2 linked regions of the Astyanax mexicanus genome follow. Each later gene encodes a partner of the first gene's protein in a complex. Links are inferred from orthologs where the notes say so. Each region holds a gene or a part of one and is shown on either strand. Other genes may lie near its edges.

Region 1 (12,129 bases):
CAGCTGAATCGCAGCCTTCAGAGCGATACATGCGTTTTTACACCTCTACACTCTACTCTCCACCAGCCAGCTGTCAGCCGACACTCCCGTTCACATAAATCCTGCGATGGCTGCACCTAATGTTCAGCTGTGATTAAAAGTGTCCATATTGTGTGTAGTAATCTGTAGTGTTAACTGAGCTATATCCATGTCTCATAGGGTGCTCTGCAAATAAATGGGTCTTTATGGCCATATGGTGCGCTTTTTGGAGGCTGCCAGCTGGCGCCAGGTAGGAATTGCCTCACGCTGATGAAGGAGCAGCTCCTCCGGCCCAAAATACACTTGGTTTAAATAAGTCAAACTGCATATTTGATCACTTTAGAATTGTTCTAAATATGGATGCGTCATGATCCTTAGCATTATCATCCAGAGAACTGTCCAGAAACTTAATAATTTAATTATTTGATGATGTGTTTGTTGTATTCTGGAAGAGCATAAGGTTTCTAGGATGGATTAAAATGCTAAAAATACTTCAGAGCAATTTATTTTCTATATAGAACTATTGGTGAAATGGGTTCTGCACAGTATTTAAAGGGTTCTTTGGATAGTAACAGTAGTATAGCACCAAAAAACTGGGTTCCCAATACTTTCATCATCACGATACCCAGGCAGCCTCCTAAAAACACCACAGCAACAAAATCTAGCACTCCCATCCCAAACAGCATGAAGATTTAGGCCATGAAGCTCAGCTAATATAAGGTCAGTGTGTTGGCAAAAGTGTCTTGTCCCCATATTATACTCCGCAACCGGGGTCTTGGCACATGTGGCTCTGGTTTATTCCCATATTATATTCTGAAACTGAGGTGTTGGCACATGTGGCTTGGGCCAATTCCCATACGTGGTAACCAAGGTACTGATACATGTAGCTCAGGCTGTTTGCCACATTATATTTGGCAACCCAGGTTTGCACATGCAAACACGTATATTATAATCTGAAACTATTATTGATGTAACAATAAGAAAACCACCTTGCATAGAACCACCTTGGCACCTCCACTTACTCAACCAAACCCTATCAGAGCCCAACCTACTAGACCAGTCGAATTATCTGCATTTCATTTAGGTTCGGTCATTTTGCTTGAGAACCTCAGACAGTACACAACAAGATATGTCATGAGACTTTGTTTGAGGGAGGAATCTGTACCTACTGTCTGTGGCAAGTCAGCAGAAAATAACATCACAGTTAAACATGAATTGCACACAAATGAAGATTTGAAACGACCAGGAAAATCAAACTCTTTGCATCTTTTCTTCCAGCAATGTTGGCAGATGCCGTTCCACCACCGTTGCCCTTCTAAAGGTCATGATTCTGGCAGGGTGACACGGGTTCTACATCAGTGTCATGGGTTGCATCTTCCAAACTTGAGCTGAAAATGCCATGCTGTCTTTGGCCTCGCCTCCATTCTCCTCTTAAGCCAAATTGATGACCAGTTTGAAAGTTTTAGGAATCATATGCTTCTATGAGCTGTTTGTTTAATTGCTTATCCCTTATTGTGATGTCAAAATAAGAAAAACACCTTGCATCGAACACCCTTGGCACCACCCCTTACTCGACCAACCCCAACACAACCCCACCCTCTAGTTCAGTTGAATTATCTGCATTTCATTTTGGTTCAGTCATTTTGGTTGAGAACCTCAGACAGTACACAGCAAGATATGTCATGAGACTTTGTTTGAGGTAGGAATCTGTAACCTACTGTCTGTGGCAAGTCAGCAGAAAATAACATCACAGTTAAACATGAATTGCACACAAATGAAGATTTGAAACGAACAGGCAAATCAAACTCTTTGCATCTTTTCGTCCAGCAATGTGGGCAGATGCTGTTCCACCACCGTTGCCCTTCTAAAGGTCATGATTCTGGCAGGGCGACACGGGTTCTAGATCAGTGTCAGGGGGTGCATCTTCCAAACTTGAGCTGAAAATGCCATGCTGTCTTTGGCCTCGCCTCCGTTCTCTTCTCAAGCCAAGCAGCAGGGCTGTTTCTGAGCATCCATCTGCTATCAGATCACATCCATCCATGAAGCTGTGAAGTCTATTCAGCGTCTCGGCTGGACGGCGGAAAGCTGTCCTTGTTTCAGACAGAATGAGGCGGGAAAACGATGCGTTACAGTGATGAATGCGCGGCAGGTGAGCTCAGATTCATGGACTATGACTAATACGGAGAATCATTTATATCTGTCCATGCGAAAAAGATGCTTTATTACATTCCATGGGATGTTTTTTTCCACCGTCGACGGCGGCGGCAGAACCCCGAGGAGTCAAGGTAAAATGGCAGCTCAAGTGTCTTGTCAGGAAGCGGCGCCAACATCCGTGTGACAGGCGTTTTTCATACACCCACGGCCCTGAGCACGAGCACAACAGCAGAGCACGAGCGCTGTAGCAACACGGCCACAAACGCTCTTTTCTTTCACGACAACATCCCGATGACAGGGGTGACATTTAGCTGCTAGCTCTGCCACGTTTCTGCTGACGAGGTCAGCTCATTAAACCCTGGACGGAGCTGCCATGTTGGATCCACAACATCATAATCCACCATGACTAGCTCTCGCGCATTATCAAGACCTGTAGCCGCCATTATTATCCCACAGTTTCAGCTAGAAATCAACATTACAGCCCATACCTTAAAGAGGAATTCCACTTTTCTTATACTTTAGGTGCAACTGAGTGGCTTAGGTGTACACTATACAGAATGGATGGTTACAATGGTTAAACTGAGACCATAAATCAATTTTCTGGTGACCACAACATGCTATATTGGCACCATAAACAAATATATTAAGATCACAAGACATTATCTTGAAGCCATGAGTTAAAAACTTTGGGCCACGAGATAACATTGCACACAATAATATATTGACGCCATTATGCAATATATTGTGGCTATTAGGTAGTATAATTAGATCATATCATAATACCTTGATGGTATTAGATAGTACTGTATATTGAGATCATATCATAATACCTTGAGGCTAATGTCTTGAGCGTACAGGATCATATACAGAAACCGCAAGATAATCTCTCAAAAACCATGAGATAAATACTTTGAAGGTATGAGATAATGTCTTGAGAGAACAGGATCATATATAGAAACCACAAGATAATTGATGGTATATTAATTGATATTGTATTATATTGAGGCTATGAGATAAGGTCTTGAGAGTACAGGATCATATATAGAAAAACTACAAGATAATATATTAAGGCTTTGAGATAATACATAGAGACCACAAGACAATATATTGAGGCTATAAGATTATATATAGAAAAAACAAGAAGATATAGTGAGGCTATGAGATGAATACTTTGATGGTATTAGATGTAATCTTGAGGGTATGAGATAATGTCTCACAAGATAATATCTAGGCAATATATTGAGGCTATACGATAATATCTAGAGACCACAAGAAGATATCTTGAGGCCATAAAATAATATATTGAGACCATATCATAATACCTAGAGGGTATGAGATAACATTTAAAGAGTACAAGATAATATATAGAAACCACAAGATGATATATTGAGACAATAAAGTTCTTAAATTCTTTGATGGTATGAGATATTATCTTGAGGGTATGAGATAATGTATTGAGAGTAAATGATCATATATAGAAACCACAAGATAATATATTGAGGCTATGAGATAATACAGAGAGACCACAATAAGATATCTTAAGCTATGAGATGATATATTGAGACCATATCATGATACATAGAGGATATGATTAATATCTGGAGAGTACAAGATAATATCTTGAGAGTAAAAGATAATATGTAGAAACCACAAGATGATATCTCGAGGCTATGAGAGATAATATATTTAGACCATGTCATAATACCTTTAGGGTATGGGATAATATCTTGAGAGTACAAGATAATATAGAAACCACAAGATAACATATTAAGACCAAAAGATAAATACTTCAACGGTATGATATATTATCTTGAGGGTATGAGATAATGTCTTGAGAGTACAGGATCATATATAGAAACCAAAAGATAACATGGCACAAAATAATATATTGATGCTAGTAGGCAATATCTTGAGGCCGTGAGAGGATACAATATATTGAGAGACCACAAGATAATTGGATAATTGGGATCCTGAGATAATATTTTGAGGCCATGAGATAGTATATTAAGATGAGAGAGTACATGATCATAATTAGAAACCACAAGATATTATATTGAGGCTATGAGATCATACATAGAGACCACAAGAAGATATATATCTTAAGCAATGAGATGATATATTGAGACCATATCATAATACATTGAGGATATGAGTTAATATCAGGAGAGTACAATATAATATATAGAAAACACACGATAATATTTTGAGACCATAAAATAAGTACTTTGATGGTATGAGATAGTATCTTGAGGGTATGAGATAACCAAAAGATAACATGGCACAAAATAATATATTGATGCTAGTAGGCAATATCTTGAGGCCGTGAGAGGATACAATATATTGAGAAACCACAAGATAATGGGGTATTTGGGATCCTGAGATAATATTTTGAGGCCATGAGATAGTATATTAAAATGAGAGAGTACATGATCATAAATGGAAACCACGAGATATTATATTGAGGCTATGAGATCATACATAGAGACCACAAGAAGATATCTTAAGCTATGAGATTATATATGATATTATATATCATAATACATTGAGGATATGAGTTAATATCTGGAGAGTACAAGATATTATATAGAAAACACAAGATAACATCTTGAGACCATGAAATAAGTACTTTGATGGTATGAGATAGTATCTTGAGGGTATGAGATAACCAAAAGATAACATGGCTTGAGGCCATGAGAGGATACAGTAAATTGAGACCATATTGGGGAAATAGGGATCCTAAGATAATATTTTGAGGCCATGAGATAGTATATTAAGATGAGATAATATTTTGAGAGCATGAGATAATTTAAATAGTTAAATTAAGTAGTTAAATAGTTTTTCAAGTAGAAAAAAACGGTGCTATATTTTATACACTCTTTCAAAATGCTCTAAAAGAACTAATTTTATACTAAAACTATATTAAATATTAAATATTTTGGCCACATGTTGATTTTCTTATGATTTTCCTTCAAAAATTTGTACAAAAAAATACATACAGAGTTCAGACATGTGTTTAAACCAACAGTGTAAACCAATCAACCAATCAAAGCAAGGTATCAGTTCTTTTTATCCTTCATATCCAATCATATGTACAGTATCTGCTGGGCATGAATGAGTTAAATTACTGGCTGTGTCTCTACAGTAATGAAGAGTGGAATGGGGGTTTATGAAGCTTGTTGGGGGTTAATCAGGAGTTCATACTGAACAGAAAGAGCGTGCTCATAATGATCCATCACACTCCACAGCTCCTCATTACTCCTCACGCTCTTCCTCCTCCTCTTCATCCACACACTCTCTTCAAAAGAATTCCCATCAAAGCCCTGCTGAACCCTGGCTCTCAGAGATGCTCCGCGTTAAAGGAGATAGTGAACATCTTCTTTACCACTCAGGAATTCAAATAAACACTGAGAGAAAAAAGCTATACTAATTAAATCTGCATGCTCTCTGGGGAACTGTGGCAAAAGAAAGATGTAAGCCTTCTGCACTGAGTAAGAGAAATATAAGAGAATTTATAAAATTATTTTTAAAATATGAATAAAAATTATTCATAAATAAAGTTAAAATATATACACTAGGTGAAATATTACACCAATTATTTTTAAAGACAGTTCTAATTAAATTCAAGGTTCTCATAATATAATTATCATAAAAACATAAAATCAAAGTTTTCAGAACCAGAAGGACATATTCACTCTTAGAACTGACTGGAGACTCGAGAATTATATTATATGAAGTATTCATTTTAAACATGTTGGATTTCTTTGGTTGTAGTTATTGTATTAAACTCAAGGGGGCAGCAAATCTGCATATTTGCATCAATTCATTAAATGGTCTGTACCATTTAAAAAATGTGTTTTTTTGTATTATTTTTTGTCTATTCATCTAATATATTTTATTATTTCACTTTTTGTTTTTAGTTAAATTGCATCATGCATGCAAATTATTTTTTTTATATAAAATTTTGTGTCTTTGTGTCTTTTTTTAAACAATGTTTTACTATTATTTACTTTATTAAATATTCTATACTTACATGTCCATATTCATTTATTAAATTGCTATTTATTTATATTAAAAATCACTATTATTTTCATTTTCCTGTGGTGATTTGCCTATTTACATTTTTAAATATAATAAATAGCCTATGCATATTTAAAATCCTATATTAATTAGATCATTTAGTTGTATTTGCTATATATATCCTATATTATTTTGTCTGTTAAATGTATTGTTCTATGTTAAATATTATAAATAGATTTTTCATTTAATATGTTTAACAGTCTGTTCATTTGATTTGCTTTATATTCCAAAGTCAATTTATTTTTAGACGTTAAAGAGTGAATTTAATTTATATACAGTGATGTGAAAAAGTGTTTGTCACACGGAACAACAGGTAAACACAAAATGCTATTTTTAATGAAGGTGTTTATTATTAAGGGAGAAAAAAAATTCAAACCTACCCTGTGTAAAAAAGTGATTGCCCCCTTGTTAAAACATACCGTCACTGTGGTTTCTGACACCTGAGTACACTTATTGCCACACCTGTTCTCAATCATTTAAATATAATTTAAATAGGACCTGCCTGACAAAGTAAAGTCCACCAAAAGATCCTTAAAAGCTACACATCATGCCGAGATCTAATATATGTTAACTAGTTTTAACTAATTTAATTTTAGATATTGAATAATCGATTTAATATATATTTTGATAATAAATATATTATCTGTGATTTATTTACATAAAAATGTATATTTTATTTATTTTTATATATTAAATGGCATTTTTAATTTATTATTAGATATTAATTAGCGTATTTATTTTTTAGATATTAAACTGTATATTCAATTTATGTTTAGATATGAAATAGCATATTTAATTTATTTTTAGAAATTAAATAGTTTGATTAATTTATTTTTAGATATTAAATAGTCTAGTTATTAAATAGTGTGTGTATAGTGTGTTTATTAGCATGTTTGTGTATAAAATTATTTTATTTTTATTTTATTTTAGTAATGGCGGGTGTTTGGGCGGAAGTGGTGTGGTGATGTCAGGGCTAAGAGTGACGCTGTTTCCGGGAGGAACAGGGCAGTGCAGTGGAGCTGAGGGTCTGTGCCAGTGTGTTTGTGTGTATTAGAGTATATTAATGGGTTAATATGTGTGTATTATAGTGAGTTAATGGGTTAATGTGTGTTAGTGTGAGTGTGTGATGATGTCGGAGTCTCCGGATACCCGCAGTCTGCTGTCTGCGTCCTCTCAGGTTAATCTGATGGAGATAGAGGCGGTGAGTCTGTGTGTTTATATTTATGCTGCTGCTGCTGCTGTTTGTATATTATAGATTGTTTTATATCTCAGCGGGTTCAGTATTTAGTTCTCTCTGACTGTATCACAAATAAATTGCCATGGTTAACAACAACAACAACAACAACAACAACAGCAGCAGTAATACTAGCTAGCTGCCCATGTTTACAGGCAACAGTGTGATATACAGTGTTATAAACTGTATAATAAACTCTATTTGTCATTGTTTATGTAGTTTCTGACACTGTATAATATATTTATTATTCAAAAATGCTAAGAAAAACCCTAAAAACATGGCAAAGGCAAAGAATTACAGTTGTCTATGTTTATAGAGAGCACTGTATCACATACTGCTCTGTATTAAAGTGCACAAAAGTACATATAGCAGCTAAAAAGCAGTAGCAACCATTATCCTTTTTTTCATATTTAACCATCACAAAGAGTCCATACCACACACAGAGTTTATTATGCAGTTTCTGATACAGTATGGACAATTTTGATGTTTAAATAAACTACTAACCTACATAAGTACAAAACTACATTATAAACTAACCAACAGTTGCAAGAATCTCCTTGGATTTGTGCATTAAATCGGTCATTAAATGTGTTCTGATCAAACTCAAAACTGGTGTGTTTTTATTTTTAAATATACTACACAATATATATATATATATATATATATATATATATATATATATATATATATATTGTGTAGTATTAATTTAAGCAGACTGTGTTTGTCTATTGTTGTGACTTAGATGAAGATCAGAACACATTTAATGAGCAAATTATGCAGAAATTCAAGTAAATCCAAATCCCAAAGGGTTCACATACTTTTTCTTGCAACTGTACTTAGGTTTTTGACACTGTATGGCACATTGCTCTCCACAAAAGATTGACAAAAATATATTTAGATTTCACTGTTCTGATTGGATATAAAGTCAACTTTTTCTTTTACACAGGGTTTACACATGTGTATTGCTACTATGAGTTTTACTGAAATTGCATTGAAAATATTAGCAGTACAATATGTTGCTGAAAGTCACTATGTTTTGAATAGTAAGCCCTGTATCACCACCATAGGTTACCTTATTTTAGTAGAAATGTTGGTTATCTATACTTTACTGGAGTAATCATTTATTTTTCAGACGACTCTTTACTTCTGCTCCTCACATTTTCACACAATTATCTGAACTTTCTACTCATTACATTTTAAAAACAGCCTGGTTACTCCTATTTCATTTAAGCTCGTTTTTATTCTGACTTCTCATCCTTCAATTTCATTTACAATGGGCATATATGCAGCTGAAACAAGGAAGAGCCTAGTGCATCCCAAATGTATTAACATTAACATGTTAATAATAGAACATTATAATCATTATGACTTTTAGAAGAAATGTGTTTTGGGAAGGGAGGGGGGGTAGTGCACTATAGGACTCTGTGGCACTGCCTAAGCTTTTGTTCTTAATGGAATTTTTAATCACCTTTGATCTCAGATTGATGATAAGGAGTTTGATATCCCTCAAGTGGACACGCCGCCTACTCTGGAGAGCATTCTGAATGAGGTGAGTTATTGTGAATAGCTGGCAATAAATAGCTGGAGGTTGGTTCAGATATACACACACTGAGTTTAGTGTACTCTTCTGGCCTAGAAGACATAGACACATACAGTACCAAAAGTTTGAACACTCCATCTCATTCAGTGTTTACTTCATTTGTGTATTTAATTAATTTTCTAAATTATAGATTTATATTATTAGTAATTTTTTTACTTTATTTAAAAAATAAAACAAAATAATACAGGTATAATATAGGTAGAATGTCTTACTTATGTGTATTACGTATGTGTATGCTTACAGAAAAAATGTAAAAAAAAAAAACTGGACACCATTTTGTCAGAAAATCCGTTTTTAGTTGTAGGTTTGCGGTTATTTCTTCCATTAAATACACATCCTTAACCCTTTCCCTCCATTGTTGTATTGAGGGGGGCTGTGGCTTTAGCCAGGAGACGGTAAGCGTTTTCTTAGCGATCAAATGAAGAATTTGTGCTATTAATATCTGCTTTCTATCTGTTACTTCCTCTGGTATAATTCCTAAAGTAAAGCATAATGGTTCTAATAGCAGTTCTATATTTAAGCATTTGTTTATTTCATTTTGTATGTTTTTTCCAATATTCTAATAATTTTGGGCAATCCCAAAATATGTGTGTATGGTCTCCTACCAAACCACAGCCCCTCCAACATTTATCTGATGTGTCTCTCAATTTTGATGATTAATATTATTATTTGAAGTGATTTGGGATAAAAAGTAGCAGCTATTGTTCAGCACCTCCAGGAACTCCTTCCGTCAAGACACTGAGAAAACTATTCCGGGTGACTCTCCCTCATGAAGACACTGAGATTAAAATACAGATCTTTGCAGAAATGTGCAGATCTGTCCTCAAAGATCTCTCCTCTGTCCTAAATGTGATACTTGGAAAAACCTAAAGTATGAAACACATTCTGGGTTGTTAAACACTTTTATTAGGAATAATTCTGTGTTGTGTTCCTGTAAAGCTTTAATATAATCTTTAATATTACATTTACAATGTCAAAAAATCATAAAAAGACAGAAAACACATTGAATGAGAAGAATGAGTGTGTCCAAAGTTTTGTCTTTAAATCTGGTATTATTGGAAGACCCATATGTTTAGATTTGTTTAATCTGTGTGTGTATGTCTGTATTTTTTGTAGCCTGAAGATGAAGATGAGCAGTTCATCCTGGAGGACACGTGTCTGCTGAGCACAGAAAACATTGACGCTCATTCCTGTGAGACCTCCTCTCTCGCCAGCTCTGACAGTGGAGACCGAGCACACCTGAAAAGGTACAAACAACACAAAAAGCGTTAACGGATGTGATTAATTAGGAATCAGTAATGGTTACTATTTATTTTTTTTAACGCAATTAACTAGGTCACTAAGTTTTACCCCAACTTCTGCCGTAATCTGCCCTGCCCCTGCCCAACACGCAGATTTATTTTTTGGCTGAAGCGGTTCACTTGACTAATCACAGTTAGTCACAGGATTTTGTTGTAATTATTATGATTTTGTTGATTGACACAACTAGAACCACGCATCAAAAGAGCTGGGATATTAAAACAAACTCAAGTTGCTGTATTTAGAGATGATAGGTTTATAATACATATAATACATATAATGCATATAATACTGTATTACACAACCTACTCAGTATGTATTTTTTTATTGTCTCTTCCAGGCGGAGGAGAGCAGTAGAGACTACCGCTACAGTTCATGGATCAGTTCTGAGACACAGTGTGCTGAAAGGCATCTCGGCTCAGATCGTCTCGGCTGCTGTGAGTATCTGTCTGTAAGAAGCATCTAAGGCTGATAACTGATAAACCTATCCTGTGTAACACAGGGAACTCTAGCTCTTCCTTTTCTTGAGTGGTCCTGATGAGAGCCAGTTCCATCATAATGTTTTTAATGGTCTTTGTGACTGCACTTGAGGATACTTTCAAAGTTCTTGAAATGTTTCCTTTCAGATTGACTGACATTAATTTCTTCTAAAAGTATTTTTTCTTTACTTAGTTGAGTAGTTTTCGCCATAATCTGGATTAGAACATTACTCAAATAGAGCTATTATTCACTGTATACCTGTAACTCTACCTCTTCACTACTTTACAATTGATCCTCTCAAACACTTTAACAGACAAGAAATTAAAGTATTTAACTCTTTAAGAGTACAGCACAGCTGTTAACTGAAAGCCTGAATTCCAGGTCACTCAACCTCATAAAGCTGACTGAGAAAATCCAGCCAAGATGTCCAAAACTGTCTAACCTAAGCAAGAGGTGCTACTTTGAAGAATCTTAAATATATAAAATGTATTCTGGTTTGATTAACACTTTTTTTGTTGTTGGCTAAATTATCCCATTTGTTTTTCTGCATAAATTGAAAAAAAAAAAGTCTTTATTTACAATACCACTGCATTTAAGGTGTGTCCAATTAATGTTAATATGTTTAAACATCTTCAAAAGGACATGTCATTTTACTGTACATGTAGCTATACTGTATTACTTATCCTCCTTTATTTTCTTCTCTTTTCAGGATAAAGTTGATGCAGGCTTGCCTACGGCCATCGTAAGCACTTTTCTGAGCTTGTTTTAAGGCAAATTCTTCAGTGTTTTTGTTTGTATTCTGTTCAGCTTGTTCTCTACTGGTGTTTGTTGTGTTTTTAGACAGTGTCCAGTGTTATCGCTGTGGGAACGTCACATGGCCTGGCCCTCGTATTCGGTGAGTGTTTAATACGTTTAATAAATGTTAATATCTTGTGTTTTTTAAACATTGAAACAGTATAGCAAAGTTTATCTCTGGCAGATTAACATTATTTAGAGCCCTATCATACACCTTGGTGTACCTATCTTACACGTGGTAGACTGAAAGTGAGGTGTGTTCAGTAAAATTTCTGGCGTGTTTCTATTTTGGTGGTGAAAAACACAGGTGCGCCACTGACTTATTAAAACCCTGACAACAGTCAATCATCAAGTCCATTCTTATAGGTGGTCCCAGTGCACTGCATACATCCCCGCGCATTAAACACAGAAATAATCACACTGCAGAGCACAAACAAAGCTTTTACATCAACAATAAACAGAAAAAAGTATA
Region 2 (9,148 bases), on another chromosome or scaffold:
AAGTCAGTAATGACAGAGATCATCATACAAATTCAGATGCACTCAGGTTCTAAAGTATAAAGCCCTACACAGGATCACTTCTGAGTATTTGCGAGACCTCATCTCCTATTATGAACCACCATGATGACATAGATCTCAGGGTGCTGGTTTCTTAGTAGTTCCTAAAATTCAGAGACGCTCTGCAGGAGGAAGAGCTTTCTCTTATAAAGCTCCCTAACTCTGGAATAATCTCCCCGAATATGTTCGGGACTCAGACACAGTCTCAATCTTTATGTCTAGACTAAAAACTTACTTGTTTAGCTTATCTTTTAATTAATGTTATTAATGTTTTTTCCCTTTGGATAAGGCTGCAGATCCAGGGGTTCATGGACAGAGGGAATTGTGGTAAACTGGGCTGGTGCTGCTGTTCTCCCACTGCACACGCTCACTCAGGTTTGTGGACGGTGGAGTGGGTGAATGCTGGTGTTTCAGGCTGCCTTCGTGTCTATGTTTACTTCTGGCTCTCTACCTTTAGTTAGGCTGTTTCATTCAGATCTGCCAGAGTCATTAGCCACACTAGCCAAATATGATAATGTTTCATATTTTCTGTTCTCCATAAATTCAGTTAAAACTAATTCCATCTCTCTCCCGGATGTTGGACCCTCAGGATCTCATGTCCTCTGTCCGGCCAGACTAATGGAAGTTTCGGAAGTCAGCTCTTCTCCATCACCCACCACAGATTAGCTGCTCATCATTCATCTTAAACACAGAAGAGGACACAGCCATGGAGCCTCAGGTGGAGCTCAGAGAGTCACGGCCTGAGAAAAGGGAAGAATCTTGATTGATTGTCTGCCAGTCAGGGGATAGCACCACCACTGCTACCAGAACACTACAGAGGAAATTAAACAGTCAAGAGCCATGATTCTGTGGAGTATGATGTTGTTAAAGACTGATAATCATTTCTTAAATAAGAGTTTGGCTAGATTCAATCCTTGGCATCAAGCAGAAATGTGTAGTGTGTACCTAAATAACGTTCACATGTGGGGCCTGTATGATCCGACCAATTGAGACCCAAAAGCTTTTGTCCATGGGTTTCACGTATGGATGTCAGTGATTGCCCTATCAGGATCAGTGATCAGACTTGTCTTGTCTCGAGTTTTGCCAAATCTGAACTCAGTGTCTTTTTGATTCAGGTTCAGATGTATCAAACATATCATGTTCAGTGAACAGCTGTTTCAAGAATGTATGGAACACAAATGCGAAAAGAAAAACAAAATTACGATCCTCAAGAACCACGGTGTAACATAGAACAACAATAAAATAGTGCAATAAGATGCAAAAGTGTAAAAATAGTGCAACATAAAACTGTAACACTACAATAAATACAACAGAAGATACATTTCTAGTCAGAATAAAATGCTGGAAGGTGCTGTTAAAGAAACTTAAGAAGACAGAGCTCTTCAAAGAGCACTTACTCCCCTAACACCTCTAACTAACTACCTTCTACTACCAGATCAGGAGAATCTCTCACTATCTTTAATAAACTCCTGAAGACAGAGCTCTTCAAAGAGCACTTACTCTCCTAACACCTCTAACTAACTACCTTCTACTACCAGATCAGGAGAATCTCTCACTATCTTTAATAAACTCCTGAAGACAGAGCTCTTCAAAGAGCACTTACTCTCTTAACATCCTTTAACTAACTAATTACTTTTCCTCCTCTATCTCACTATTCCCTTTGAGCTAATTTAGGCTCATTTCAGTCTCTGTGTGCTGAGAGAGAGAGTGTGTGTGTGTGTGTGTGTGAAGAGTGGTGGTGGGGTTCAGTTCAGTTCTGTGTGTGTATGTGTGTGTGAAGAGTGGGGGTGGGGTTCAGTTCAGATCTGTGTGAGCGCGTGTGAAGAATGGTGAGGGGGGTCAGTTCTGTGTGTGTGTGAAGAATGGTGGGGGGGGGGGGGTTCAGTTCAGTTCTCTGTGGGTGTGTCTGAAGAATGGTGGGGGTTCAGTTCAGTTCTGTGTGAGTGTGTTGTGTGTGTGTGATGGGTGGGGTGGGGTTCAGCTGTGCCTCTGTGTGTTGAGGAGTCTGACTGCCTGATGGATGAAGCTGTTGCAGAGTCTAGTAGTGGAGGCTCGGGTGCTCCTGTATCTTCTGCTGGACGGCATCAGAGCGAAGAGTCCGTGTGAGGGATGGGAGGGGTTGTCCACAATGCTGGTGGCTTTGCGGATGCGGCGTGTGGTGTAGATCTCGGTGATTGAGGGAAGAGAGACTCTTCTCGGCTGTCCTCACTATCCGTTGTAGGGTCTTGCGGTCTGAAGTGTTGCAGTTCCCATGCAGGTGTTTAGGATGCTTTTTTACAGTCCCTCTGTAGAACATGGTGAGGATGGGAGGTGGAAGATGTGCTTTCCTCAGTCTGATGTTAAGTGAAGTTTAAGGGTTAACTTTATCTAGCACTCAGTGCTGCATCTTTACATCTAAGGCTGTATCTCTGAAAACATTTCCTCCTTTGAGTTTTAGAGCTGTAAAAAAGGGGAAGGCAGGTGGACGTTCTCTGCTCCAGTACCGTTAGCCAATCAAAGGCGATATATTTGCATGTATGAATATTTATGAGCACAAGCCTCTAATTTAGTAAACTAAACAGGGCTAAATAGAAACACCTGAGCATTCATTCATACTAGAGACCACAACATTGATGGAATGAGACCTTTAAGACATTGCTTATAGTACTATGCATACTATTAGGGTCATTATGGATATATATTTACAGTGTATTTCAAACACTGTATTGAAATATATGGTATTAGATCTAAACATGCGGGGTGATCACTAAATAAGAGTAAGTATTAATAAATACAGGACTGAGGTAATAAAAAGGGTATCTGGCTCCCTCATGTGGTGTATATTTATAATTGCATTTTTATAGTGAAAATCTAAAAGCCACTCCCCAGAAAATGTGTGTGTGGTAAATCATGTTGCTTATTTTCAGTTTTATTCCTGTACACACTGTAAACGTACAAGCTATTGTACATAACAAATATATTTCTATACTGTCACTACATCACTCATATGCTAAATTATCTGCATGTTTACTGTGTATTTGTACCTTTAAATCTATTTTTATATTAGCTTTATATATTGTAAAACAGTTTAGCTTGTGAAATATATTTTTAGTAAAAAAATATTTTTTGAGTAGAAGTAATTTGTGCGAAAGTACATCAGATAGATCTGGTTTCATACATTTCCATTTTTTTTAAACAACGGATATTTAATTGTATGTTTACATCTGTATATATATATATATATATATATATATATATATATATATATATATATATATATACTTTTTTACCATTTTAATACATCTGACAGTGTAATAATGTACTTATTACGGTATATTGAATAATGATCATTGTTCCATCTGTTAATGCATTGAAACGTTGATCTCCGACATCAGAACTGATTTATTTGTGCAAATTGGTTTTACATTGATTTAAGGTTATGATTGTATATGTATTGTGTGTATTAAACATCACTTACATTAAACATGTATATCTTGTTTCTTTTCTATAACTACAGCTCGTATTGCGTTCTTGCAGTGTAGAAATCAGCACAAATAATGTGAATAAATTTGTTATTTCTGTGCTGTTTCAGTGTACGGTCTGCTTTTATCTCTTAAATATAACTAGATACTTTTATACAGCGTTAGGGATCATATAATAAATAACTAGATACTAGTTATCAGGGACAAACGTAGATCCAATAAAAACTTTACTACTACTACGGTTGTATAAACGCCTTGTCCCTTTAGGGATTCCGTAGAGAAAGTTCCGAGGGGGTGCCGCTGGGTAATGAAGTTTTATTGACATTAGGTCAAAATCAGGTATTACCCTAAAACAAAGAATGGTTAAATAATGTGTTAGAACAGAGTAAAAACGGGCTGTGTGGGATAAATGTGTGAACTGAATGACAGTCAGGCTGTCGGCACATTAAAGTATTTAATAACAGCCCTCTAAACGGAACTTTATCACATGAGCGGATGTAGTCCGCAGGAAGCGGCGGTCCGGTCCGGTTCTACGGCAGCAACAGCAGGGCGGGGAAAGCCGGAGCGGAGCGGAGAGCAGCGGGGACGGGAGAACAGGGAGGCCCAGCAGCAGAGCAGCCTCCCCGGACAGAACCGCGGCGCTACCGGCTGGGGTACGGAGCTTTATTCACTGTGGCTCTCAGCAGAAATCTCGGTGTTAAAACACCGCTTATTAAAGTTCCACCGCTAGCAGGTGTTCTATCGAGTTGTGCTACCCAGCGATATGTGCGAGTTTGAATTGTTCCCCATTTGTTTTCCTCTGTTTCGTGTCACTTTATTTTCAGCATAATTTTGACTTACTGGCATTATATAATTGGCTTAAGTGTTAATGATTAATAAATAAATTTAAAAAATAAAATAGTTCTTGATCTCAATTATCTCGTATTTATCTAGCAAGCATTCAGCTTCATACAGTGATTTATCCATGTCTAGGCCATCCAGATAGCCAGAAGATAACATAGCTAGGTACAGGTATTAGCTATAATTGATATAGCTACTACTGTTTGTATTATCTTATATGATCAACCTTATATAATTTAGCCTGACCAAAATATTTTTTAAGGCTCAGCTAGGGTTACCTATTTTTCTTTTTATCTGTAAATTTACCTGACTTTACGTAAATGTATATATTTATGATAGTACACATACTTTTATATCTTAGTATTTTATTTACGTACAATATTTTATTTATTTATAGTGTCCTTGGCTTATTATTATTATTATTATTATTATTATTATAGGATACCCTGTGGTAGCACGTTTTGGCAAGGTTGCACAATTCGTCAGAACACTGCGATTCACTGAACTGCGCTGCTGAACTCCGCTAGCTGTGGCTAACAGTTAGCACGCTAGCTTTTCTTTGGTGTTGTGGTGCCAGTGTAAAGCTGTTGGCCCTGGTTTCCGTGGTGTTTTATTAAAGATGAGGGTTCGACCATGGCCACACTGTTAGCCAGCTACATTATTGTTTTAATATTGTAATTATCTAGCTGCTCTGGTCTCATGCTAGTTAGCTAATCAGCACAGCCAGCAGGCTAGCTCTCTGTTAGCATGCTGACTAGCAGCTTCACACAGTTAGCCTTACTGTCATTCAGTTGTCAGAGCTGTCAGGGAGTGTTTACTACAGAGACTCATTTAGGATCGTTAGGTGTGAAGAAGCCTTTACAGGTAATGTGTCCCCATACGGGTTGTGTATGGGTAGCCCAACTGGGAAGCAGTACATTTTATGTTAACAGCTTTCATGTTGACCCCACATATGGATGCCTGTAAGCAGGGTTGCCAGTTCCAACAAAAAATATCCAGCCCAAAGTCAGTCTAAAACCTGCCCTTCATAAGCTTAAGCTAGCCCAAAATATATATCTGTCACACATTTGAAGCGAATGGCAAAACAACTGAGTGTACCCCTTAGTATTTTGTTTATAAGGGGTTTATTATCAGTATTGCTGTTTAACTCTCCTGAACTCTCTTCTCTCCTGTTTAACAGTTTTTTTTTTATCGCCTGGTGATTTGTGGTTTCTCCTCTCTCTCTCTCTCTCTCTCTCTCTCTCTCTCTCTCTCTCTCTCTCTCTTTCTCTCTTTCTCTCTTTCTCTCTCTCTCTCTCTCTCTCTCTCTCTCTCTCTTCCTCCGTTTCTGCATCTCTCTCTCCCCCTTTCTCTACCCATCTCTCTTGATCTGTTTCTCTCTCTCTCTCTTCCTCTCTTTCTCCATCTCTCTCTCTTTCTCCTCCTCTCTTTCTCCTCCTCTCTCTCTCCCACTCCATCTCTCCCCCTTTCTCCCCCCCCCTTTCTCTCCCAATCTTTCTCCATCTCTCTCCCCTCTCTCATCTCTCTCCCTCTCTTTCTCTTTCTCCATCTCTCCCCTCTCCTTCTCCATCTCTCTCCCCCTCTCCTTCTCCATCTCTCTCCCCCTCTCCTTCTCCATCTCTCTCCCCCTCTCCTTCTCCATCTCTCTCCCCTCTCCTTCTCCATCTCTCTCCCCCTCTCCTTCTCCATCTCTCTCCCCCTCTCCTTCTTCATCTCTCCCCCTCTCCTTCATCTCTCTCTCTCTCTCTCCCTCCCTCTCTCTCTTTCTCCCCCTCTTTCTCCCCCTCTCTCTTTCCGTCTCTCTCCTGCTCTCCTTTTGTACACTGTCCTCCTTTATGTTGTTATGTTCTCTAGATTCTTTATTTTGTAAACAATCTTGGAAGATTGGAAGATTTTAGTGTACACGTTTGTCCGCCGTGTTGACGTAACATCCAAGGCAACACCCACTTTTTAGTTTTTTTGGCGGCCAATGTAATTTTTAAATGGAAACCCAAAAAACCCTAACCCTAACCCCTAAAATTCCACTTGACTGGATTTTAAAACAAGCCTAATTTGGCGGGAAAACCACAAACCTGGCAACTGTGCTTGTAAGGGGCAGTTAAGAGGGCAGGAGGAGGTTACACATGGGGCTGGTCTGAGTTGTACACTACACATGAGATTGAGGTGGGCTGAAATGATTTGACCCATTTGGGAAGCCCAACCGGGTCCCAGTAACACGTACAAGCCCACTCAGGTTGTTGTTGACTTTCTTCTTGATTGGACTGAAATGATAGTAGATCACATGGCTTTAAGAAGACTGAAACGTTTTTTTCCCTCTGTTATACAGATGTACTGATAATATGCTGATTATATAATAATGTAGATTTAACGTGTAGTAATAGTACATTGGAGATTTTTGACAAAATGTACTGCCTGAAAATTTTACGGTATATTTTCGAACATGCTGTTTCTTAAAACATGTATCATCCTTGTGTAAGTAACACTTACTTTACATATTTGGCTCTGTCTATATAGAGGCTAAGCTATTGATAACTTGCTCTCTGTGCAAACTAGACTATTTTACCAATTAAAAGTTGCAAGTAGACTCGCCCTCACCCTTGACAGAGCATAAAAGAGAACAGAATAGCGCAATTGGCTAAAATACAGCTTATTGAAGTATTTTTACTCGTCCTTTTAATGCTTATTCTTTTGGAATCTAACCCATTATTGCGTTTTTGTGCATGTATTGTACAGCAAGTTGATAACAACTAACCATAGCAGGCCTATCCTTACATACAAGTATATAACATTCTAAGTAAACATATACTGCAAATTTATTAAAGAAAGTCTGTATTGAAATTCACTCCAGTGCATCCTAACTGACTCTGAATTCATATCTCCCTCCTCTCTCCAAGCAGATGTGAACATCAGCATGAGTGTGAAGGCCTTTGAGCTGGTGCCCGCTGTGGAGCGGGAGCAGTTGATGGGCGAAAAGGTGCGCATCGGCATCGAGTGCATAGAATGCTGCGGGCAGCACTTGTACGTGGGCACCAACGACTGCTTTATCCATCACTTCCTTTTGGAAGAACGCTCCACCAAAGGCAGGCTTACCTACAGCAGCCAGAAGCTCCTGCAGAAGTTTCTGGGTCTGAAGAAGCCCGTGGCCGAGCTGAAGGCCGCCTCGGCTCTGGAGCGTCTCATTATCCTGTGTGATGGCACCGTCTCTCTGTTGGACATGGTCACTCTGGAGCCTGTACCGTTTGGTGGAGCCAAGGTGAAAAATGTGATTGCGTTCTGCGTCAATGAGAACCCAGTAACGGCCGACCCCTTCTGTGTGGAGATGGCGGTGGTGTCGGCGCGCCGACGGGCCGTCCAGATTTTCACAGTGCACGAGGATCGGGTCCAGATGCTGAAGGAGGTGACCACGCCTGAGCAGCCCTGTGCCCTCAGCGTGGACGGCTACTTCCTGTGCCTGGCACTGCCCACGCAGTACATGATCCTCAACTACAGTAGCGGAGCCTCGCAGGACCTGTTTCCCTACGACAGTGAGGAGAGGAAGCCCATCGTTAAGAGGATCGGCAGGGAGGAGTTCCTACTGGCTGCTCCGGGTGGACTTGGTGAGTTCAGCACCAGGAACAGTAAACAGTTGTCACTCATGTGGAAGCATACTGAAAGCATTTTGTTGATTATGTAATTTTATAGAATATAGGACAATATATTTGCCACTGCTGTGCAATTTAAGCAGTTAATTCCAGTCATAAATTTAGCTCGGCAGTGCCACTCTAGTCACATGTAAAATTTTTACATTTGCTCAGAGATAGTCAGTCTTTTGGTAAACAAACAAACAAACACTAAAGTTAAGTTATCTCAGCAAATGTTATTATACTATACTGTATCTACAGCTCCAGTATCTCATAGTGGTCATTCTCTGCAGCTCTGAGGACCAATTGTGGTGGATTCCTGTCCACATATTAAGGTGTCTTCAAATCAGACAGTGTGATACGGCATGCTGTGGTTGCATAATCATGATCCTGTATTGTGTCATTATTTCTGCTGGTAACTGAAACAGTGGGTGGAGAATATGGGTAGATTTTGAAATAGTGAAAAATATTAGTTACACAAATTTGGCCTATCATGATAACTATCATATTTTTTGGGATAATATGTTGAACCAGAAACTGCAAATAACAAAACTTTAATATTTTAAGATCATTGTATGCCACTTGTATAATAATGATATATTTGCATTATGGCCCTATGATTTCTGTAATGCAGAAAACACGGACAGAACCACGGAATTAAGCAATTACAGCAAAATTCAAATGCACAGAGTTAGAAAATGTCCCGTAGGCTGGTACTGGTGTTCTGACATTCATAGTAATTTGCAGACCATCTTACACATCATATCAAACAGAACTTACCATATCTAACCAGCACAGAAACATCGTTCAGATATTTCTTTGCATGAAACTTGGCAAAAGCAATGGTGCCCTGTCACACAAAAGCAGAGAGTGTGCACAGAATTGCAGATCATTCAGATGATCCAAACAGCACCCGCATCGCTGAAATCTCTCAGGTGCTCATGCAGTCTATCGCTCACTCGCATTTGCACTCTCTCCTTCTCTCTTTCGCATTTGTACTCTCTCCTTCTCTCTTTCGCATTTGCACTCTCTCCTTCTCTCTTTCGCATTTGTACTCTCTCCTTCTCTCTTTCGCATTTGTACTCTCTCCTTCTCTCTTTTCTCATTTGCACTCTCTCCTTCTCTCTTTCGCATTTGCACTCTCTCCTTCTCTCTTTCGCATTTGCACTC

What was found. The genes of interacting proteins can lie anywhere in the genome.
Region 2: vps8 (region 1) and tgfbrap1 share a complex: the UniProt entries of both Homo sapiens proteins name them as parts of the putative class C core vacuole/endosome tethering (CORVET) complex. The link is inferred for Astyanax mexicanus from reciprocal best matches to the Homo sapiens genes VPS8 and TGFBRAP1.

What each region holds. Positions count from the first base shown.
Region 1 is NC_064428.1:31,161,666-31,173,794, forward strand, and holds the start of vps8 (vacuolar protein sorting-associated protein 8 homolog), read left to right. Parts: upstream 1-7,221; 5' UTR 7,222-7,375; coding exon 7,376-7,450; intron 7,451-8,963; coding exon 8,964-9,032; intron 9,033-10,199; coding exon 10,200-10,330; intron 10,331-10,722; coding exon 10,723-10,819; intron 10,820-11,571; coding exon 11,572-11,604; intron 11,605-11,702; coding exon 11,703-11,757; intron 11,758-12,129. UniProt on the Homo sapiens protein: Plays a role in vesicle-mediated protein trafficking of the endocytic membrane transport pathway.
Region 2 is NC_064412.1:43,277,596-43,286,743, reverse strand, and holds the start of tgfbrap1 (transforming growth factor-beta receptor-associated protein 1 homolog), read left to right. Parts: upstream 1-3,924; 5' UTR 3,925-4,005; coding exon 4,006-4,171; intron 4,172-7,255; coding exon 7,256-7,954; intron 7,955-9,148. UniProt on the Homo sapiens protein: Plays a role in the TGF-beta/activin signaling pathway. It associates with inactive heteromeric TGF-beta and activin receptor complexes, mainly through the type II receptor, and is released upon activation of signaling.